Linked DNA regions of Daphnia pulex. The protein of the gene in region 1 interacts with the protein of each later gene in a pairwise test. Links are inferred from orthologs where the notes say so. Each region holds a gene or a part of one and is shown on either strand. Other genes may lie near its edges. The genes, in order: kinesin-like protein unc-104 and liprin-alpha-2-like.

Region 1 (4,343 bases):
TAAATCAATGATTCAGTCGTTATGAGACAAAATAGTGAACTTTTTGTAGAAAATAGCTCCAACCTACTTGAGAACAAACAAAAGTCATTTCAGGATAGTCCTTCATTAGTGCTATCACAGATGACCAGCTGCGAGCGCACTTCCGGATAGTTTCATCGTACGTCCAGAGCCAAGCCGTATCGATATGACAGTGACCCATTGCGTCTATGATGTGCGCGCGTTCGCCGTTTCGGTACTTAAAAAACTCGTTTGACACTCGTTGAGCTTCCCTGAAAGAATTTCTGGGACTTAAGTATTTACTAAATATAAATTTAATTAATTATGCAACGCGAAATTACTTCCAATCATCAGCTTGAATGGCATTTATGATTTGATTTCCTGCGTACAAAGCCTGATAACCACGACTGTCACCCTTTCCGTCTGCTTCCGTCAATTCTTTGGCCATGTCAAATAAAAGTTCTAAGTCGATCAGGAGATGGTATGCTATTGTGTCGCAAACCGCAACATTAGCCATTTGCAGACAATATTTTCGGTCAGGGTCGGGAGCGTCTGTAATGTATAAATGCTGCTTCTAAAATTCTCAATGGTAAAAATTGGTAATACATTGAAGATATTTTTTACCAATCATTCCTCCTTTGCCAGCTCCAAACATGCTATGAAATTTTAACAAAATTTGTTTTTATTTCTCTTTAACCTGAGCATGAATAAATAAATCAAAGATACCTATTGCAAGCCATTTCAATAAAGTAAACCAGTTCTTCTGGACCTTTCTTCTCCCATGATTTTGAGATTATGAATTCTTCTCGTTTCTGGTGATCAGGACTTCCAGTGAATCCCTGCATAGATGGTATCAATGGAAATTATTCTATTGTTAACACAAAATGATTGGTTATAAACCTGAAGAGGTTCTCCAAGAGTGTTGAAAAGAAGTGCTTCTGAATTTGAATTCCATCGAAGGTGGATTTCTTTGCCAGACCAAGATTCAGGAATCTTCACAACAATCTTTTAAAGGCCAAAAAGATGTTCAGTATTTTAAAAGAAAATGAGAGGATTGAATAAATACATGTACAAAAATATCTGTTATTTTGCATTGACAACTGGCAACACCTTAAAGTAGTGTGTAGCCCAAGTGGGTCCAAAACAGTCCCCAATTTTCTGTGGGAGAAATGTTTGTTTGATGATTTCATCAAAGGAAATTGACTTCCAGTGTTTATCTTGAGGTAAGGCCCAGTGAAATATGTCTAAAATGTTATAAGCAAAATATCGTTAATGAGTGATTAAAGTTCTAATGTCTGAGTGTTTTCTCGTACCGACATTCTCTTGATGTGGGTAAATGCGTCCATATAAATTTACATCAGTAAAATAAATTCTAGAAACGAATTTTTCAATCCTTTCAAGGGTAGTTCGTCGATTTTTGTGTAAACTAGCCATCTGTGATGGCTAAGGACCGTCTGTTTGTTTAATTCTAACAAAAATTGAGATGACACGGTCGTTTAACTTTCCAGCTGGTCCCTGGCGGCCATTCGGTGGTAAACAAGATGGTTTCGGCAACCTTATTGACGTTTTTTTTTTGTTTATTATTTTTTTACTTCCAACACTAGTGGCCGTAAAAGTCTATTTTTTTTTATCAATGTTTATCGATAGATCAATATTGCAGTGTTTTGTTGCGTTTTACATTATTTTATCGATCACGCATGCCTTGGAGCATATTTGTAGAATGAATTACCATCATTCCGCGTCTGTGCGGTACTGCATGCAGCGGTTGGGGAAAGTCGAAATGAAAAAAAAAATGGGGTTGCCTTGCGAATAAAATAAACCTTCTTCCAAGCGTAAAGCTGTCGGTCGGTTTAAAGAGCGGCTAGACCGCCAGCAGTAGAACTCTCAACGGGGTCCTTTTTTTCCTTCTTCAGAAGGCGGGGGGAGCGATACACTTTCACCGATGGGATTTGCTACTGCGCAGGTCGGCCAAGACGATCGATATTGTCGAGTCACAGAGCAGCTCTTCGGTGACGAACGGTTTTTCTGAGTTGAATACTGCCGTGGCACCTTCAGTGTTGGCCCCAGTCCCCGAGTAAGTTGTTTTCTTCGTTGTTGTCAAAGTGGCAGCAGGGCAGGGCTTTTTATTTTATTTTTTGAAATTCTTTTTTATTATCCCGTGAAGTATTGAAGAAAAGAAAAAGAGTAGGAGGAAGAAATAATCGATTCGTGTGTCATGGATCAACGTTACTGAGCTCCGTATAGCTAAACGTCACACTCATAGTTCCAAGCCGGGTAAGCTCTACCATCATTTGCCTTTGTAATGTTATTCAATTTTACAGTTTTATATCCTTAATGCGATAAAAAAAAAAGCGTACGCGGGTCTACCTTAATACATTTTAAATATATTGAGCGTGGGCTGGGCCTCCATGCATCGAGTTACATGGCCATATTGTTTTCTGAATGTTAAATCGCCTTGAAAGACGAACAGGGTCTGCACAGTGCAAGTGCAGCGGTTCTTTCGAGAGGAAAAATGAAGTAGCCCGTATTATGCGCGACTGGATTGCGTCTCATATTGTCACGAAACGACATTCCGGCGTTGCCTATTGTTAAGTCGATCGAATAGAAGAGGGAAAAGAAGGGGCGTGAGTTTCGATTCCCCTGACAGCGTCTCGATTTAGAGATAACAGAAAAGGAATCGAAAAATAGATTTGTTATCTCTTTCGCGCGAATGGGGTGTATTAATTGTGTTAATGTCTTGTTTGATTGACAGGGTCGCTGCTGGATATTGCATCAAGTGCTGCTGGGCTGTGATTGTTTCCATTTGGATTGCAGCCGTTAATCAAGTCAAAATGTCGTCCGTTAAAGTGGCCGTTCGTGTGCGTCCGTTCAATAGTCGAGAAATCAACCGCGATTCTAAATGCATTATCGAGATGGTCGACAATACCACGGGTAAGGATTGACGTCATCAAAAATGGAGGATTATTCGTGTGCCGTAAAAAAAAAGTTGGATTCTAAGCCTTCGTTAAAAGCGCAAGACTTGTTGCCAATATCACGGCCGTTCCGGAGTAGGAAAAAGAAAACTAGACAAATGGAAGTAAATGACGCATTCATCCTCCGCCCGCCCACACTGTGTTTTTCTATTTTTGGTTCCCTTGTTAATCGTCGAAAAGAACCGCCATCTTTCATATAATAGTGTCGTAACTGTTAATCATTCTGTCTTCCACAGTCATAACCAATCCGAAAGCTCCAGCCGGTTCCAAGGAGGCTTCCAAGAGTTTTAACTTTGATTACTCTTATTGGTCACATGACGTGAGTTATGCCTTGTTTCTGCCATTTCTTTTTTTCCCCCTCGTCGTATACTCTGTGTACTTTCAACCCACCGATGTGGTGGCGAATGTCAAGGTGCAAGCACAGAGAGACGGCCCATTGAGTCGAGCTACGATCACTTATCGATTTTCTATTGTTTTCCCCCTTTTTTCACGTTTAGCCTCAAGATTACAATTTCGCACCGCAGATCAATGTCTACAAAGACATCGGTGAAGAGATGCTCGATCACGCCTTCGAAGGTAATTTCTTCAACTAAAAGAAAATTGATTTAAAGTGCAAACATTGAATTTGAAAACAGGTTACAACGTTTGCATTTTCGCCTACGGCCAAACGGGAGCCGGAAAATCATTTACGATGATGGGCAAACAAGAAGAAGGCCAAGAGGGCATCATTCCACAGCTTTGCATGGATCTTTTCGGTCGAATCAATAGCGATGCTAACGAAGATATGCAGTACTCGGTCGAGGTACGGTAGCGTTCAAGACATTGTTTTTAATTTAGTTGAGTCACAAAGTCAACTGTACTTACGCACAATCACAACAGGTCAGTTACATGGAAATTTATTGCGAACGAGTTCGTGACTTGCTCAATCCCAAGAACAAAAACAACTTGCGCGTACGTGAGCACCCTCTCCTGGGACCCTACGTAGAAGATCTTTCCAAGTTGGCTGTTACTTGCTTCGACGACGTCAACGAGCTTATTGACGAAGGCAACAAAGCCAGGTCAATAATTCCCCACCGTCACATTCGTCCTAATACTTAAGTTTTCTTGTGACATCTTGTTATTAAACAGGACGGTGGCAGCTACCAACATGAACGAGACATCTAGTCGATCACATGCCGTTTTTACGCTCATTTTCACGCAGAGACGTTTCGATCAAACGACAAGTCTATCCACGGAAAAAGTCAGCAAGATTTCCTTGGTGGATTTGGCGGGTTCGGAACGAGCCGACGCCACCGGCGCTAAAGGAACGCGTTTAAAAGAAGGAGCTAACATCAACAAGAGTCTCACCACTCTCGGCAAAGTCATCTCCGCTCT
Region 2 (4,279 bases), on another chromosome or scaffold:
TCCGGTTTCCTCTTGAAGAAGGAGTTGGCTTATTTCGCCAAAGCACTTGATAACCCTGAACGTCCATTCCTGGCTATTCTTGGTGGTGCTAAAGTTGCGGATAAAATCCAGTTGATTGGCAACTTGCTTGACCAAGTTAACGAAATGATCATCGGTGGTGGCATGGCGTACACTTTCCTGAAAGTCATCAACGGCATGCAGGTAAAAAAAAATTAGTGAGGCCAGAGGGAAAACAGCCTATGACTAACAATTGTCGACAAACAGATCGGTAACTCGTTGTTCGACGAGGAAGGATCCAAAATAGTCAAGGATTTGGTAGCCAAAGCAGAGAAAAATGGAGTGAAGCTTCATCTTCCTGTCGACTTTACTTGCGCAGACAAGTTTGCTGAGGACGCTGCTACACAGTCCGCCAGCGTTGAGTCTGGAATTCCCGAAGGTTGGATGGGCTTGGATTGTGGACCAAATACAATTGCACACTTTGTAGACCCAATCCAAAGAGCCAAAACAATTGTTTGGAACGGGTAATAATAGCGTGACCGGATTATGTACAGTTACTAATTGTGTTTCTGTAGACCTGTGGGAGTCTTTGAATTCGAGAAATTTGCCACTGGTACAAAGGCTGTCATGGATGCTGTTGTTCTTGCGACCCAAAACGGCGCCACTACTATCATTGGTAAACCATTTCCCCGGTTTTTCTAGAAGATAAATTTGTTGATTTTCGTTTGATTGAAAAGGTGGAGGAGACACAGCGACCTGCGCTGCCAAATGGGGAACAGAGGACAAGGTTAGCCATGTCTCTACTGGAGGTGGAGCCTCTCTAGAGTTGTTGGAAGGCAAAGTTCTGCCAGGCGTCGCCGCGCTTTCTGATGCATAAATATGATGTCACTTCTTAAATTTTAATCAAACCCAAGCATCAGTCGTTCTTTCAATTGGCAATTTAGTAGAGATTTTGTAAAAAGAAATGGTCCTAAATTAAATGTTTCATTCTGTAATCCAGTTTATGTTTTGCATGAATAATTTGAAATTTCAAGTCAAATATCTAATAAACATCGTTAGTTGAAAGATGAAATCTTTTCTTGTGTGTCACTATAAATCTTTAAATTCTGAAACTCATTCAAGCTCAGTGGTATCTGGTATGTGATAAGATAAAAACTTCACATAAAATATAGGGATATATCCCATATAAGAGAAAGTAGAATGTTAATGTTAATGGGAAAATCGACGACGACGAGAGCCGGGCCCGTGTTAAACTGTACGAGCGTTTTCGTTTTCGTCTGTAGCCTACTGTACGAACGACCATACAGGTCACGTGACTACTGTGACGTCAAAGTCAAATATGGCGGCTTGACGGCGAAGTCTTGGTTTTGACAGAAGTTGTTGAAACTGGAAAATATTAATTATTTCTTACGTGCGACATTTGGTTCATCATCGGCCAAGATTGTGCTGAAGTGAAAATGATATTTTCCTGATTATCTCGTATACGTGATTCTGTCGGAGCACATTGCCTCGTAAGGATCTAAACAGTTATTTCTCTTGTTGCCTAGCTTCGAAGCCGCACAGAAAACAAACGCTTTTCTTTCGTAAACCCCTTGATCCAGATGTGTGATACATCACAATTTACATTTTGTGTTCTCATAAGTGATATGATTCAGAATTCAGCATAGAAGTTGATGATATGCAGAATCTAGCATTATTCCTTTTACATGAAGCTAGGTTACGGGTTGGGTTGTAAATACAAACACTAACAAGCTAATAGCACCTTTCTATTATCCAAGTTTCAATTCTATGCATTTTTTATTGTTAGTGCAAGTTCCCATACAACTTTTTTTTTCAAATTTAAGTTAAATTGTTAACATCCTTCACATTTATATTTGTGTTGGCGGTATAATGTGTGAATGCAAGAAGGTTATAACCCAAAAGACTTTGCATAATAATCTGGATTAATACTACCAATTCCCATATATTGTCTAAGCAATGTTAAAAAACTATGTTGGAATAATGTTGGAATCATGTTTTTCTTATATGTTTTGACAGCTCTACTTATATCTTCGTTGTTTTATACTCTTTTAGATTTTGTGCCGACATCAAATCCATAACATTGCCAACTCTGGACCTTTCTTGAATTGTTGCTGATCTTAGTCCTCAAACTTAATAAATACCAATTATATTAGTTCCACAAAAATGTGGAACATGATGTGTGATGTGATGCCTACTATTACGGAAGATGCCAGCCAACTATCACAAAGATCCTCCCAACTGCTGTCAGGGGAAGAAGGAAACCTTGAACAGCTCATGGTCTCTATGCTGGATGAAAGAGACCGGCTAGTAGATTCTCTACGCGATGCACAAGTATGTTCTCTATTCACCTCATGATTTAGTGTATTTCATCATTTGAGTCTTATCTAGGATCGTATGGGAGAGCTGGAAGCTCGATTAGCTGATGCAGAAAAAGAACGGGATTGCCTTCAACGCCAGATGGCCGCATCTTTACCTCAGGTAAAAATTCAAGAGAAAGGTTTGAGGAATAAAATATAATTTTTTTTTTTTCATGACTTGTAGGAATTGGCGTCATTAACTAAAGAGCTGGCCCAGTCTAGGGAACAGCTTCTGGAAAAAGACGAAGAAATTACCGAACTCAAAGCTGAGAGGAACAACACTAGGGTATTATTCGACTTCATCACACTATATCGCTATAAGGAAATCAAATGCCAACAACGTACTCATTAAATATGTTGTTACTCTGATTATAGCTTCTGTTGGAACACTTGGAATGCTTGGTGTCCCGCCATGAACGATCTTTGCGAATGACGGTTGTCAAGCGACAAGCAGCAAATAGTGCAGGTGTTTCTTCCGAAGTCGAAGTCCTGAAGGCGCTTAAGTCATTATTTGAGCATCATAAAGCCTTGGATGAGAAGGTAACTTTTTTTAAATGAAAATATTGAACAAACTAGAAGACTCTAACTCATCCGTTATTTGTAGGTTCGCGAACGATTGAGGGTGGCGTTAGAACGGACAGCCGGTCTCGAAGAAGAGCTAACAACTACCAAAGAAGAAGTGGGTCCTAAATAATCGTCTTTTTCTTTTTTGTAGTTGGTGTTAACTTTGATGTGGTATTTGCATTTGCAGTTGCAACATTTAAAGAATGGGTCCATGTCAGTGACGCACACCAGCACGGATGGAAATGGTGGTGCAGCTGGTGAGAGTGGTACTAGTGACGTTACTAACGCGACAAATGGAACGTCCGAAGTTTCAGCTGAAGCTAGTAAAATGACGGAACTGCAATCAACGTTGGAGAAACAAAGTAGCGAATTGACGGTTTTACAACGGAGACTATTGGAAGCTGAAGAAGCTCTTCGTGCTGCTCAGAGGGATGCCCAGAGAAGTCAGGAGTTACAGGCCCGACTTCAACGTGATCTTCACGAGAAGAGCGCGCAAAACCAAGATCAGGTTCATTTAATTCAACTGTTTCCATGAAATTGTAATATTTAATGCTCAAATCATTTTTCTACACGTCATTACTATCAGGAGGAGCGCATTGCTACATTAGAGAAACGATACTTGAATGCCCAACGTGAATCAACGTCTCTTCACGACTTGAACGAGCGATTAGAGCAAGAGCTGCGTAATAAAGACGCACAACTTAAGGTATGGGTTTTTAGCTCGTTAACTTTTTATTAGAATTCGTCATATAATCCGATTTTATCAATTACTTTACATAGTTGCAAGAGGACAGGGTCCGCACTATGGAAGAGAAATTGGAGCTGGCTGATCAGAAAGTTACCCAGCTCTCGAAACTACCCGAGGTCCAGCATGAATTAACTCAAGTAAATTATGTTTAACAAAACCCTTCATGTTCATCTCGCTTATCGATTAGCATTATGATTCAAAGGTTCAAGAGCGCCACGGTACGGCTGAGGATCGCATCCAGAGACTGGAAAGCCAATTAGAAGAGAAGTCAACTGAAGTGGCTAAGTTGCAGCAGAGACTGAGGATTAACGAGGAACATAATTCACGTCTATCCTCAACTGTTGATAAGCTTTTACAAGGTAACTTCATTATGCATAATTGCTTTATTGTATCATTTTTTTAAATTTTTGTTTGAAAAACAAACAATACAAACAGAATCAAACGACCGGTTGCAAGTTCATCTCAAAGAGCGTATGTCGGCGCTAGAAGAGAAAAATCACCTAACGCAAGATCTAGATAAATCAAGAAAGTGTCTAGAAGATTCGCTTAAAGAAAAGGTGGAGTTTTTATTTGTTTTTGAAATCTTGAGAGA

The links.
Region 2: the proteins of kinesin-like protein unc-104 (region 1) and liprin-alpha-2-like interact in binary tests that used the Caenorhabditis elegans proteins (3 or more experiments, as listed by UniProt). The link is inferred for Daphnia pulex from reciprocal best matches to the Caenorhabditis elegans genes unc-104 and syd-2.

The regions. Positions count from the first base shown.
Region 1 is NC_060017.1:1,487,173-1,491,515, reverse strand, and holds the start of kinesin-like protein unc-104, read left to right. Parts: upstream 1-1,241; intron 1,242-1,310; coding exon of another isoform or gene 1,311-1,431; exon of another isoform or gene 1,432-1,544; intron 1,545-1,657; exon of another isoform or gene 1,658-2,271; intron 2,272-2,749; 5' UTR 2,750-2,828; coding exon 2,829-2,928; intron 2,929-3,205; coding exon 3,206-3,288; intron 3,289-3,466; coding exon 3,467-3,545; intron 3,546-3,604; coding exon 3,605-3,771; intron 3,772-3,848; coding exon 3,849-4,027; intron 4,028-4,097; coding exon 4,098-4,343. Other genes in the region: alpha-mannosidase 2C1-like, read right to left, coding at 68-269, 339-549, 622-653, 724-836, 898-1,002, 1,108-1,241, 1,311-1,431. UniProt on the Caenorhabditis elegans protein: Motor protein involved in microtubule-associated anterograde transport. Regulates the transport of synaptic vesicle precursors in the axon of DA motor neurons. Regulates the polarized sorting of axonal proteins.
Region 2 is NC_060018.1:6,195,603-6,199,881, forward strand, and holds the start of liprin-alpha-2-like, read left to right. Parts: upstream 1-1,308; 5' UTR 1,309-1,508; intron 1,509-2,070; 5' UTR 2,071-2,181; coding exon 2,182-2,349; intron 2,350-2,406; coding exon 2,407-2,496; intron 2,497-2,559; coding exon 2,560-2,661; intron 2,662-2,750; coding exon 2,751-2,915; intron 2,916-2,979; coding exon 2,980-3,054; intron 3,055-3,126; coding exon 3,127-3,447; intron 3,448-3,525; coding exon 3,526-3,645; intron 3,646-3,719; coding exon 3,720-3,824; intron 3,825-3,889; coding exon 3,890-4,046; intron 4,047-4,122; coding exon 4,123-4,244; intron 4,245-4,279. Other genes in the region: probable phosphoglycerate kinase, read left to right, coding at 1-201, 265-521, 573-673, 735-874. UniProt on the Caenorhabditis elegans protein: May play a role in regulating the structure of the neuronal region, called the active zone, from which synaptic vesicles send neurotransmitter signals across the synapse. This may be in association with the liprin-beta protein hlb-1.